Linked DNA regions of Arabidopsis thaliana. The protein of the gene in region 2 binds, or shares a complex with, the protein of the main gene of each other region. Each region holds a gene or a part of one and is shown on either strand. Other genes may lie near its edges.

Region 1 (7,043 bases), on a different chromosome or scaffold from region 2:
GCAAGAAAGATTTGTGCCTAAGTATCTCGTTGTTTCGCGACTCGTGAATCGCGATCTTTAGTCAGATTGGGGTTATAAAAATGGATCAGCATACTAATTCAAAATCTTCTATAAAACGTTAAAGTTGACGTGTACGTCGACCCTGAAACTCGTTGACGTGGTGTGTTGTCTACGCGTGTTATTCAAGATCCAGATTGCGGAAATTTAGTTTTCTTATAAAAAATCCGCTAGGGGTAATAAAATACTTGAAAAACGATTTTCTTCACAAAACATGAATTCGCTCGCAAACAACTATTTCAAGTAGTAATGTTATATCATTCTACTCTACTGTTGTATTAAACTTCTCTCAATAGACTACTAATAAAAAAAAGGATATGAAGAAAAAATTGCTAAGAAAAAGAAGAAGAGGATAAGAATATAACAAGAAAATTAATTTCATGGTGATTTCAAGGTTACCGATAATTATAATTCTAATAACTAATCTTTTTTCAAGTTTGGTTGCTTGGTTGAAACGAGAGTAAAGGAGAGTAAGGTTTCGCAGCTTGTTGGTAAGCTTTTCAAGGATTGGTCGCTTCTCACTAATTATGAGCACAATAGACGGGGTCGTATTTGGGTTCTATGGCGTAAGAATGTGCGACTTAGTCCTATTTATAAGAGTGGTCAATTGCTGACTTGTTCGGTGAAGCTAGAAGATCGACAGGATGAATTTTTCTGTTCCTTTGTCTATGCTTCAAACTACGTGGAGGAGCGAAAAGTTTTATGGTCAGAACTGAAGGATCATTATGATTCTCCCATCATCATCAGATTTAATCCCTTTGGCATAATAGTCTTGCCAGCTTCAAGACCAAAGGGATTAGATGTTCGCATAATAGTCTTGAACCTAAGCATATGATAATGACCGCAGAGTCACTTCCAAAGATTTAATCGCATGTGCCATCGACAGCGGTGATGTATTCACTTGGATAATCAATGTCGAACTACAATGAAATCAAGCAAAACAACTTAATCTTGTCCGATGGAAACCGGTCTGACTTTAAGAAGGTATAAAATAACTAGTATAGTCACAATAGTCAAAGACCACAATGCCTAGGGAAGTTGTGGGATTAAACGGGTCACTTATTAAAAAAAAAGTCCGTATCTCGACCAACCAAGTTATAAAATAAATGGGTTCAAAATGCGTTTGGCCCGTTTAGGCCGCAGCGATATATAAGTACCTCTTTCCGTGTTCATCTCCAGCAACAACTTGAGAAGCATTGGCATACTCAAACTAACCGTGGACACACAATCGACAATCGTGGCCTTGACATATATACACCTTAACACTGTTGTAAGCACCATGCCACCATCGTCCCATGCAGTTCTTTTATCACTACCAAGTTCACCTTTTGAGCCATCATTGTTTGATTTTTACCAATCTTTGGAGTTTTTTTTGGGGTAAGAAGTGAAGTGAAAAAAAATATCTAAAGTTTAAACCGTTCACCAATAAGACTCTAATCTATAAAACAACCACTAGACTACGAAACATTTTTTCTTAGGAGTTACTAAAACTGCAAAAAACAAATTGTTAATTGCAACTATTAACCAAATTTTACTATAATATAGTATCATAAGAGATATAAAGGATGAGGATAAGTGGTGATCCATCCGAGTGGGCTGTACGTTAATTTATTGACCTCTTGGAATTAGCAAAGATATTTTACCAAAAAAGAATCTAATTAATATTCAAGAATAGATCCACATATAGGCCTCATTATTTAATTAATTAACACAATTCTAAATAATAGTAATCCATAATTCGTGATCCACGTTGAGTATTAAATTATTTTACCCAAGAAGGCTACATACTTTTATTATTTTCTTTATTTTTGGCCAACTCATATTATTTGCAACTAATAATATTTTTTAGCCGAAAACTTCTATATTTTGGCCACAATCTAGATAAAAAAAATTACGCAGGTATTTTTGTTTTGGAGAAAAGAAAACACCTATATTTTGGATCCAAAAAAATTTACTTTTGTTTTAAATTGTACAATTCGTACATTGAGATTTTTGTTTAATTATAGTAAGAGAATTAGTATCAGACGCAAATGGGAAATATATATCGGAACATTTGGGGATATAAAAATTAGAAGAGATGAAACAAACTTCCTTAATTAAAATGGAACACAACCACATCAAAGAAAAACCGGCAACACAAGATACAACACTTAAAAGTTAAAACACTTATCAGAGGTCACCAGAGGCATGAAGAGACCTCAAATGACCAATTTATAAGATAAAGATAAAGATCTCCATGGAATCAAAGATAAAGATCTTCATGGTCAGTTGGAAACGGGACGGACATGAACTCCAATTTTGTGGAGCAAAGCATCGGCTCTTCCATGGAAGCCAACGATTTTGTGGCCTTCCTCTTTGAGTTCGAAGGCAGTGCCAGCTTCAAGTCCAAAGGGAGGGGACGTTTGCTTATTAGTCTTGAACCTAAGCATAGTTATGACTGAGCCATCACTCCCAAAGATTTTATCGTAGGTGCCTTCGACTGCGATGATGTATTCACTTGGATAGTCAAGTACGAACTGCAGTTATTGGAACCTTGAATACGTCATCATGGAAATCGAAAGAAAATTTGAATTCTCTGATCAAAGCATATATATAGCTATATGTATATAACATTCATCAACAACAAAAAAAAAAAGAGAAAGAAAACATTATACCTCTTCGAATCCGAGTAGAGTACTCTTTCCATGTTCTTCTCCTGTGACCTCCTCAGGGCTTTTGTCGTATACAAACTTAACAGCCGATATACCATCTTGGGCTTGTCCTACGTACACCTTCTTAACCCCAACGTAAGCACCATCATCCCATGCTGTTCCATCATCACTACCAAGTGCCGGTAGCGGCTTGGCAGGAGTCAATGGGATAGTCAACGGAGCAAAGTAAGCTCCAAGAGAATTAAGATTGTCTCCGGCAGACCCATGAAAGCCAATGATCTTCTTGTCTTGAACTTGGAGAAATGATCTAGTACCACGATCGTATCCAATGAAACGAGAAGTCTTTTTGTTGGATATGAACCTAAGCCCTTGAATAAGACCATCAGGTTTATACCAAATTTCAATAGAAACTAGATGCTCCTCAGGATGGTTAATCACAAACTGTAGAGATCAAGTTCAATATGTCAATACTTCAACGTAAAACAATAGATTTTCTATAAAAATTAGAAGAAGTCAAATAAGCAAGGAAAATGTATAGGAACCGGATCAGTTGGAATGGTACTGCCTTTGATACCACGAAGAGGAGTTTGTTCGGTTTGTCCGTTCTTGACGTAATCGAACTGAATGTATTGAATTCCCATTCCGCCTACTGCAACCTGAATCTTGGTCACGGCGTCATGATCGGATCCATCGTCCCATTGGTTGCCTCCTTTCCCTCCTTTTGCTTCAACCTTTTGAGCCATATTTTGCTTGCTGATCAATCTTACTATAGTTACTATAATTGGAAAAAAAAACAAATTGTGAATTTTCAATTATTAACCAATTTTGTACTAATAGAGAGGAAAAGAGAGATGACCTTCAAAAGTGAGTAGATTGTGATCGATTTAAGTGAATCATAGGTGTTTATATTGACTTCTTGCATATAACCATATATCCGCATATAGGATCATTGATCGTACTAGCAGAAATAATAATCTATTATTTCGTGATCCACGAGGCATATTTAAAACATTACCGGAAGAAATACATGTTCAAATATTCATATACTCCTTTTTTACTTCCACAGCTTCTCAACTAATCGTCTTTATATTGGTGTTGGCCAATGAAACGATGGCAGCAAGCTAATTAGTTCTTTTAAAATTCACAGAGTCGTCAATTTTATTATATACGTTATTACTTGTAAAGGGTGCAAGTTGCAATTTATATAAGTCAGAATTCTACAATTAGTGACCCCCTTTTTAGGACTCTAATTGGTTGACGATTTGATAAGTCTTGTAAGAACATGTTTCCACAGCATTGTACATTATTTCAAACAGTAAAAGTATAATTGAAATCACCTAAGAGAAATTAGAACCAAGAGTATATATATAATACAATTTTCTGTAACGCTCAATCTAGAAACAAGAACCGGTTCGTATTTTTTGGCCAACTCATATACTTTTAACTAATAACTTTTTATGTTTGGAGAAGGCCAAAAACTTCAATATGGTCACACATTCTAGATAAAAACTTTGTGCAGGATTTTTTTACTGAGAAAATACGAACAACTATATATTTGATCCAAAAAAGTTAACATTTGCATTTTAAATTGTACAATTCATACGTTGAGATTTTAGTTTGAATTATAGCAAGTAAAATTAGTATCAGAACCAAATAATGGCAAAAGTAAGTATTATAGAACATATAGGGAAACTAAAGATCAGATTGGAACAAACTTCCTTTATTAAAATAGAGCACAAGAAGAACAAAGAAAAAACAACATCGCAAGAGACAACGCGTAAAACACTTATCAAAGATCACCATTCACCAGAGGCATGAAGAGACCTCATATGAGAAATTTAGAAGATAGATTTGATAACTTATTAGATGCATGGAATCAAGGATAAAGAGCTCCATCATCAGTTGGATAAAGGACGAACATGGACTCCAATTTTGTGGAGCAGAACATCGGCTCTTCCATGGAAACCAACGATCTTGTGGCCTTCCTCTTTGAGTTCGAAGACTGTGCCAGCTTCAAGTCCAAAGGGAGGAGACGTTTGCTTATTAGTCTTGAACCTGAGCATAGTTATGACTGAGCCATCACTCCCAAAGATTTTATCATAAGTGCCATCGACTGCGGTGATGTATTCACTTGGATAGTCAAGTACGAACTGCAGTTATTGGAAACCAAATAAAACAATTGAATACATTATGATGGAAACCGGAAGAGAATTTGAATTCTCTGATGTATAATTTTTACATTCAACAAAAAGAGCAAAGAAAGTATTATACCTCTTCGAATCCGAGTAGAGTACTCTTTCCATGTTCTTCTCCTGTGACCTCCTCAGGGCTTTTGTCGTACACAAACTTAACAGCTGAGATTCCATCTTGGGCTTGTCCAACGTACACCTTCTTAACCCCAACGTAAGCACCATCATCCCATACAGTTCCGTCATCACTACCAAATGCCGTTAGCTGCTTGGCAGGAGTCAACGGAGTTGTAGTAGTCAACGGAGCAAAGTAAGCCCCAAGAGAATTAAGATTGCCCCCGGCAGACCCATGAAAGCCAATGATCTTCTTGTCTTTAACTTGTAGAGTGAAGTGAGTACCCTCATCGGATCCAATGACATCAGAAGTCTTCTTGTTGGAGATGAACTTAATTCCTTGAATGATACCTTCAGGGCTATACCAACCTTCTACAGAAACTAGATGTTCGTCTGGATGGTTAATCACAAACTGTAGAAATAGATCAAGATGAAAATGTCAAAACTTCAAAATATAACAGTATACATATAGAAAGAAGAAGATTAATGGGCAAGGAAAATATAGGAACCGGATCAGCTGGGAGAACACGGCCTTTGGTACCACGAAGAGGAGCTTGTTCGGGTTGTCCGTTCTTGACATAATCAAACTGAACATATTGAATTCCGTCTATGCCTGCTGCGAGCTGAATCTTGGTCACGGCGTCATGTGTCGATCCATCGTCCCATAGGTTGGCTCCTTTCCCTCCTTGTGCTTCCACCTTTTGGGCCATCTTCTGCTTCTTGATAGTACTTACGAATTTCTGTAGTTGCAAAAATAAATTGTTAATATCTACTATTAACCAATTTTTACATAATAGAGAAGAATAGAGATAAGACCTTTTAAAGAGAGTAGATTGTTATCGGTGCTATGATCAATTAAAGTGAATTGTATGTTTATTTATATTGACTTCTTGATATTGATCGTACTAGATGAAATAATAAGGGAAATAATAATTTATTCTTTCGTGATCCACGAGGCATATTTATATAAAAAGCATTACTGGGAAAAACGCATGTTCATATACATTTTTTTTTTTAGATAATGAAAATATTCATATACTTCTACTTGCACAACTTCTCAACTAATCGTCTTTATATTGGCGTTGGCCCATTAAACGATGGCAGCAAGCTAATTCATTGTTTTAAAATTTAAAGAATCGTTTATCAATTAGATTATGTACGATTAATTATTTGTAAAGGGCTAAAGTTGCAAGTTGCAACATATATATACGTTCTCCTTATTAAGAGTCTAATTGGTTAAGATTTGGTAATTATTGTATGAACATGTTTTAAAGCCTTAATCATAATTTAAAAACAGTAACGTTTAATTCAAATCACCGAAGATTAATTAGAAGTTTAGAACCAAAGAGGAGACTAGATATATCATACAATATTCCGTAAAAAAAATCTAGATACAAGAACCGGATCATATGGATCTAGCCATAAAGAATACTCCAAAATATCACAACTAGTTTTAATAACTCTTAGGGAAATTTACGAATTCCTCTGAATTCAAAACTGCTTTTTTTTTTTTTATAACTGATTTATGAAATATTATAAAATTTTGCGAAGAATATTTCTAAAACAAATTCTGTATTCGTTGGTAAAAAGATTTATAATTGTATCATTTACACTGGTACTAAATATTAATCTAATTGAGAGACGCTTAATATGATTCATAAATTATCAAAAAAGCTTTCTAGCTCGACTGCAAATGTACCATGGGATATTCCAAGAAGTCGCACGATCGAATGAAAGCTGGTACGTATAAATTATTAAAAGTTGATCTAGATCATCAATCAAGAAAACATCCTATTTAACAAAAACAAAGGTTAACATGTAGTATGTATTTATTTATATAATTATCTGTTGCGAATGTGAAACAATCGATAGAAATTACACTAGCTAAGTAATTAATAATAACTATTTGATCATCTATAACTATATTATTCAATACTTATATGATCAAAATATGTAAGCTAGTGGTTTTTGGTATTTCTTGTTGATGTGTTACCTTTCTAGTTGAAACCTGCATATTTACTTATTATTAAAA
Region 2 (7,751 bases):
TGTCTAGGTAGAAGAACTGTAGAAACTAACTAGTTAGTTTCAATTGATATAAGACATAGCAAAAACGTGAGAGATTGAATATTCACGGCGTTGTGGTTTTCTTTTGCTAACAATGATTTTACATGACATTTTTGCGAAACGTTTTATTTTCTTAAAAAATTGTGTTACATAATTGTTTTTTTGTTTGTTCTATAATTACGTAACAGCTCTTAACGTTTACAATAAATATATATTTTCTAACGTTTATATTTTTATTAGATATTTTTTCCCCAAACTTTTTTCTTTATTTTAAACTGAGTTCGTTTAATCTTTAATTATAGAACATTCTTTTTTTTTTGTCATCAATTATAGAACATGTTAAAAGCTCTTTTATTTCCAAATATTTTACAATATAAATATATTAGAGGACCGAGGAACTTATTGTACCTCATCATTCTTCCTTCTGGTTAACTGAAAATGGAGTGTAGTTCAGTGAGTGTACTAGGAATATTACTGGTATTTCCTCTCCTTCATAACCTTGTCACCATCTCCGGGCAGAATCTTCCGGCGGTGGGTTTGTTCACTTTCGGAGATTCCAACTTCGACGCTGGAAATAAAAAGTTCCTCACAAGTGCTCCACTTCCTCAAAACTTTTGGCCTTACGGTAAATCTCGAGATGACCCTAAGGGCAAGTTTTCTGATGGCAAAATTGTCCCGGACTTTATTGGTAAGTTTGTAAATTTATCTCTATTTTACACTTTTAATTTTTTCAAAAGGAATCAGATTGTTTTATTATATCTTTCTAATCCCAAGTAAACATATAGAGGACAACATATGGTTTGTGGATTGATGCTTATTTGTTATCCTTCATGTTAAAATTCTGTCCCAATACAGTTGTTAAATATTTTACTTAAATCAATAAATGATTTTATAATGAGTTCGATTAAAAATAAGCAATTGCAACGGGTACTTCAATATTGCAAACTCTTTTATAATGTGTGAAAAGTTGGTAAAAACGTAACGGGCTAGTAATTGTTTTTTCAAAGGTCTCAATCTGAATCAGCCTGATTTCTTTAATATTTTAACAACGTATACAAGATGAACACGCTCTTTATAGGTATAATGCTATAATGCATATCATTTAACCATTAAGAAAACTAGCTACTCGTTTTTATAGGTACTCTATACTAAATGGAAATTTTGATTGGTAATTAAAGATATATGAAATTGATGAGGGGTGAATAAATCACAGCAAAATTCATGGGGATACCACACGATTTACCGCCGGCGCTAAAACCCGGCACCGATGTGTCACGAGGAGCCAGCTTCGCCGTCGGGTCCGCTTCCATTCTTGGATCTCCAAAAGATTCTGTAAGCTCACTTAAAATATTTGTTAATCAATCGTAAAGCAATGTCATAATAAAGATTCACATTTTTTTGGTAGTTGGCTCTGAATCAACAAGTGAGGAAATTCAATCAGATGATATCAAATTGGAAAGTGGATTACATTCAGAAATCAGTGTTTATGATTAGCATTGGTATGGAAGATTACTACAACTTTACCAAAAACAATCCTAATGCTGAAGTTTCTGCTCAACAAGCTTTCGTTACTTCTGTCACTAACCGGTTTAAGAGTGATATCAACGTAAGTATTTTCATCCAAAACTAATCAAAAATTAATACGAGTTAGTGATATAGATATGTTGTTATAATGATTAATTGCAGTTGTTGTATTCATCTGGAGCTAGTAAATTCGTCGTACACTTGCTAGCGCCATTAGGTTGTTTACCGATCGCAAGACAAGAATTTAAAACCGGTAACAATTGTTACGAGAAACTCAATGATTTGGCCAAACAACACAACGCTAAAATTGGACCGATTTTGAACGAAATGGCGGAAACTAAACCGGATTTCCAATTCACCGTTTTCGATTTCTACAACGTTATTCTTCGCAGGACACAAAGAAACATGAACTACCGTGAGTTACAATTCGCCATTCAAAGTTCCACACTATCATTAATATCGTTATATGCTTTTACTTTGAAGCAAACATTTAATAATACTTGTTGTTATGACTAATTAGGGTTTTCCGTGACGAATATATCGTGTTGCGGTGTTGGGACGCATTATGCATATGGTTGTGGTTTACCTAACGTGCACTCGAAGTTATGCGAATATCAAAGATCCTACCTTTACTTCGACGCACGTCATAACACAGAGAAAGCACAAGAAGCGTTTGCTCATCTTATCTTTGGAGCTGACCCAAATGTTATCCAACCTATGAATGTTCGTGAGCTCATGGTGTATCCTGTTAATGAGCCTATGCGTGAGTTTTGGGAGGATCCAATGGATGAGAAGTTATCGTTAGTCCAATACTAGTGGATCTGTCTACCTCGTTTAGTTCTTGAGCTCACTATTTTCTATCTCTAGATCACGTACGAGCTCTTGGAATTTGTAATGTATTGTTCTTAATTAGTTGCGAAGTAAAATAATTAATACTGTTTAAATCCTCAACTCTGCTTATTTTCATAAGAAAAAAATAATCAATTAATGGGTAATTTGATAGACCTGAGAATATAACCAAAGCATATATATGACCTGCTTTGTGCTCATATTAGACAAGTTTCGGGCCATACGCACTCATTAGAACGAAATGATTGAATTTGGTGGAATCATTTAAGACTTATGGATTTCAAATTACATAACTCACTTGAGTCATTTTATTTACTTTTTTTTTTGTTTTTTTTTGCAATTCTTGTTGTAATGAAATAGTGGAAATGGTTTCAATTTTTAACTGTTCCAAAATTATTTTATAATAAGTGTTGTTTTAGGTTTTAATATAAAATTTTGGTTAAAGTTCCAAATTTTATTTATACTGTTTTAATGTGTTAACTAGAATGAATTAATCATAGTAAAACAATTTTTTTTTAGTTTGTAGTATTTAAAAAAAACGAACACTTGATCTGAAATGCATGGAGTATTTTCTTAGTTACGTTTTCATAGGTGAGAGGTTCCATTTGACATGTTTTTTTATATATTTTATTGAAATATAGGAATATGCATTTAAATCTTCTTCTGCCCTCAATGCATGATCGATCTTCTTGATACTAGTAACAATAAATGTATCTTGAAAATTAAGAATAAATAAAATAGAAATGGGATACCAGTTGTGCATTAACTAGGTGTGTAGAAAAAAGAAAAAAATGAACCTCGAGCAACACGTTATCATATATTCATATTTAAATAACAATATTTTTCAATTGCTAAATTGCTTTTTTCTTAAAAACAATCTTTTTGATAAAAAAAATTCAGTTGCCAAATTGTGTAGTATTTACAATATAAATATAACGTATCGGTCTACGAGCTAAGACACAAAAGCAATCTTCTACTCATTTACTGTTCTGTTTCACTTTCTCTCTCTCTGTATACTCTCTAAATGATGGCAAAAAACTGTAATTTAGTCAGTGTTCTATGTGTATTTTTGGTATTGACCCTCTTTAACAAACCCATCACCGTCGCCGGGCAGAATATTCCGGCGGTGGGCTTGTTCACCTTTGGTGACTCCAACTTCGACGCCGGAAACAAACAGACTCTCACCAAAACCTTACTCCCTCAAACTTTCTGGCCGTATGGAAAATCCCGAGATGATCCCAACGGCAAATTCTCCGACGGCCTCATCGCTCCAGACTTCCTCGGTGCGACATTTTTTTGTTTGTATAACTGAAAGATCTTAATCCGAATTCTACAAAACATAAAACATGCAAAATGATATTTTTTATCATTTAAAACGTTAGTACAAATGACGAGTGTTGGATATTAGTTAATTACTAAAAATAACGGTTAAAATATTTTAAAAATAAAAAAGGTTCAGCTGGTATTCACTTTTCGAAACACATGGATTTTTTTTTGATTTTTTTTCGTTAACAGATTCGGAGATTATATTTGTATTATATGAAAACCTAATATATTTAATGTACAAAATGCAGCTAAATTCATGAGGATTCCGATCGTGATCCCGCCGGCCCTTCAACCGAACGTCAATGTCTCACGTGGAGCTAGTTTCGCCGTCGCTGATGCTACTCTACTCGGAGCTCCGGTGGAATCTGTAAGTCAACTTAATTTCTTACTATAATCATCTTATTCAAAATAAATGAACCATGTCTGTCTTTTATTGACCCGGTCATACATAGCCGGTCCTTAATTTACCTTCAGGTGGCCTTAGCACAATTGGAAGATGGCCTTCTTAATGATATAAAATATATTAAAGGTTTTACCAAATTACTGTTTTTATTTTTTTTGGCGAATGATTTAGTATATATCTTCTGGTCTAAAGCATGTGCTTGACCTGTCTTATGGACTAGCCTGGATCATACTAAACGGCATATTTTTGTTTTATTAAAGACATCTGACTTTAACTGCAATTATAATTTTGTCTTTTTGTCTTTTTTTGTTTTTTTAGTTGACTCTGAATCAACAAGTGAGAAAGTTCAATCAAATGAAAGCAGCAAATTGGAATGATGATTTCGTGAAGAAGTCAGTGTTTATGATATACATTGGTGCAAACGATTACTTGAATTTCACCAAGAACAACCCTAACGCCGATGCATCTACTCAACAAGCTTTTGTCACTTCCGTGACCAACAAGTTAAAGAACGATATCAGCTTGTTGTATTCATCAGGAGCGAGTAAATTTGTGATCCAAACCCTAGCTCCATTGGGTTGCTTACCCATCGTCAGACAAGAGTTCAACACCGGGATGGATCAATGCTATGAGAAACTCAACGATTTGGCTAAACAACACAACGAAAAAATTGGACCGATGTTGAACGAATTGGCTAGAACAGCTCCTGCATCAGCTCCTTTCCAATTCACCGTCTTTGATTTCTACAACGCGATTCTTACTAGGACGCAGAGGAACCAAAACTTCCGTGAGTTGGTTAATTATCATGGTTTAATTTCATTTTTAAATTTTTTTATAACTTCTAATACCATGTGTTTAATATTTGCCATTCTTAGGATTTTTCGTTACGAACGCATCGTGCTGCGGAGTTGGGACACATGATGCTTATGGTTGCGGTTTTCCTAACGTACATTCGAGGCTATGCGAGTACCAACGGTCTTACCTATTCTTCGACGGACGTCACAACACTGAGAAGGCGCAAGAGATGTTTGGTCATCTTCTTTTTGGAGCCGATACAAATGTTATCCAACCGATGAACATCCGTGAGCTTGTCGTTTACCCTGCCGATGAACCTATGCGTGAGTCTTGGGTGCCCCCAACGTCAGCCACCGTTCAACTCAGGGAGAGCCGCGGTTACGAGTATTACTGAGTCTCTAAAATCAATATTTAGGGATCGATCGGGGTTTCTATAAGGGTTATGAGTCAAATTATAACTGGATCAATATCGGAATCTTGAGTAGTTTTAATTTCCAATGTTTTCATGTTTCTCTAGTGAGTTTTCCTCCATAATAAAAGATTGATCTCTGCAACTCTTACCCCTTGCAAATCTTTTATTTAAAAGAAACAAAACTTTTACATAAATTTATTTCTTTTTTTTGTCAACCACATATTAAAAGGTAATTCCATAATTAAAAAAAGAAGGCACAAGAAGCGTTTTCTCATCATCTTATCTTTTGGAGCGGACCCAAATGTTATCCAACCTATGAATGTTCGTGAGCTCATTGTGTATCCTGTTAATGAGCCTATGCGTGAGTTTTGGGAGGATCCAATGGATGAGAATATCATCGTTAGTCCATGACGTCGACGTCGATGCTAGTGAATCTATCTAACTCGTTTAGTTCTTGAGCTCACTATTTTCCATCTCTATACCATGAACGAGCTCTTGGAATTTGAAATGCGCTGTTATTAATTTGTTGAGATTTAAAATAATAATGTAACCTCAACTCTGTTTTTTCCATAAGAAAAATCTCAATGAGTAACGTGATAAACCTGACAATATGAACCAAAGCGTGTCCAATGACCTGCTTTGTGCTCAGATTAGACAAGTTTCGGGCCACATGCACTCCATTAGAACAAAATGATAAATTTTGGTGGAATCAATTTAAGAAGGTAGTGGATTCAATTTGAGACCTTTTTTACCCTCTTTTTTTGTTTGCAATTATTCTTGCAAGGTAATATTCGAAATGATTGGCAACAAAGAAAATAAAAAGTAGAAATTATAAAGTTCCAGAAAAGATAAGTTTATACATCTGGCTTTGGGGCCGGCTATATTTACAGTTAATTTTCATATGAAATAAAACCAAAAATCATATATATAGATAATAGATGAACCAAACAAATGAGGCGTTCTTCATATAAAACTTCATCTTCACGTAAGCAAATGTGTTTTATTTTTATCTAGTTTCTGCACTCTTTTAGAAACAAAATTGTTCACCTTTCTGTCGTTCTAATGATTCCAATCAAATTGATAATTACTAGAACTTACAAACGAATAAGGACCAACTCTTCTGTATTTGATATAGACACTCTCTCAAAACTTAATCTTCTCTAATCTTCACTGTAAATCTTAAGGAACAACTCTCCACAAGTTTTTATAATTTATATATACATAACTAAGCTATTACCTATACTATTAAGATTGTGTCAACGCAAAATTGAGTTATTCTTTCTTATTTAAATTTGAACTATTAAAAATATGTAAATAATTAACGAAAATCTTTGTCAAAACACTATTAAGAAAATAATTTCAAAAATTAACATGATGATAAAATATAGATTGTTAATTGTTTTTTTTAATTGTTTTCAAGTAATTTAATCAATAATATGATGAGGATGATTAAGGAAATTACTATAATTTATCTTTTAAAGAATATCTTAGCATAGGTATGAGTTGTTTTTGCAAAATTTTAATAATTGATTTAAGTTATCTAAACGTTATTAAAATTATTATCCAAATTATCTATAATTATCCGAACATATTCGTCTCTTGTCTATTCTGGTAGTGATATTTTATGTATCTATATTATTCATATATCGTATCAGTATAATCTGACTTATTTAAAAATATCTATTTGATATGTATTTTGATATTAAAAATATTTTAATTCGAGTTGTGTACTCGTAAATTATCCAAAAGTTTTAGCAGAAATAAACATATCTACGTATATGTTGGTGTTGAAATTTTTTTGTTGAATTTGGCTAGTCAGCAAAATTTAGTTTTATGCAAATGGTTACTGCAGAAATTACTGAATCTGGTTTAGTGTTACCATTTACACCCTATATTTCCGTGAAATTTGTATGTTTAATTCTACTTCTTGCCTCTAAATGCACGATCTTTTCAGCACTTCGAAGAGGTTAAAGTGACTTTTACCCGATGAGAAGGGAATTGTGTGGCAGATAGAATTGCTAGGGAATCTCTTTCTTTTCTGAATTATGATCCCAAATTGTATTCTATATTGCCGGATTGGGTTAAAGCTTATGTGTATTCAGACTCTTGTGTAATTGTAAGTTGTTGTTGAACCAAAAAAAAAAAAGCACGATCTTTCTTGGTACTCGTAGTAACAATAGATATTTTGTTGAGAATTAAAAATAAAGTAGAAGAGAAACCAGTAATGCGTCAGACGTGATTAAGCGAACTATATAATATAATTGATCGATAATCGTTTGCTAGTGCGTTAAATAGGTGTATAGTAAAATGAACCTCGCGCTACACGTTATTATTTGTATAGTAAAATGAACTATTATTTTCATTGCCAAATTGTAGTACTTGCAATATAAATATAACGAATCGGTCTACGAGCTAAGGCACAAA

Evidence for each region.
Region 1: AT1G54010 (region 2) and JAL31 share a complex: the UniProt entries of both Arabidopsis thaliana proteins name them as parts of the PYK10 complex.

The regions. Positions count from the first base shown.
Region 1 is NC_003074.8:5,578,238-5,585,280, reverse strand, and holds JAL31 (jacalin-related lectin 31), read right to left. Parts: upstream 3,714-7,043; 5' UTR 3,565-3,713; exon of another isoform or gene 3,484-3,564; 5' UTR 3,452-3,483; coding exon 3,251-3,451; intron 3,150-3,250; coding exon 2,712-3,149; intron 2,574-2,711; coding exon 2,322-2,573; 3' UTR 2,094-2,321; downstream 1-2,093. Other genes in the region: AT3G16432 (uncharacterized protein), read right to left, coding at 1,153-1,338; PBP1 (PYK10-binding protein 1), read right to left, coding at 4,607-4,858, 4,980-5,423, 5,521-5,721. UniProt on the Arabidopsis thaliana protein: Polymerizer-type lectin that may facilitate the correct polymerization of BGLU23/PYK10 upon tissue damage. Activates BGLU21, BGLU22 and BGLU23.
Region 2 is NC_003070.9:20,156,412-20,164,162, reverse strand, and holds AT1G54010 (GDSL-like Lipase/Acylhydrolase superfamily protein), read left to right. Parts: upstream 1-3,298; 5' UTR 3,299-3,415; coding exon 3,416-3,674; intron 3,675-3,965; coding exon 3,966-4,084; intron 4,085-4,438; coding exon 4,439-4,907; intron 4,908-4,995; coding exon 4,996-5,309; 3' UTR 5,310-5,574; downstream 5,575-7,751. Other genes in the region: AT1G54020 (GDSL-like Lipase/Acylhydrolase superfamily protein), read left to right, coding at 457-706, 1,232-1,350, 1,424-1,624, 1,705-1,957, 2,063-2,358. UniProt on the Arabidopsis thaliana protein: Involved in the control of the PYK10 complex size and possibly substrate specificity. May be exported from the endoplasmic reticulum upon interaction with MVP1.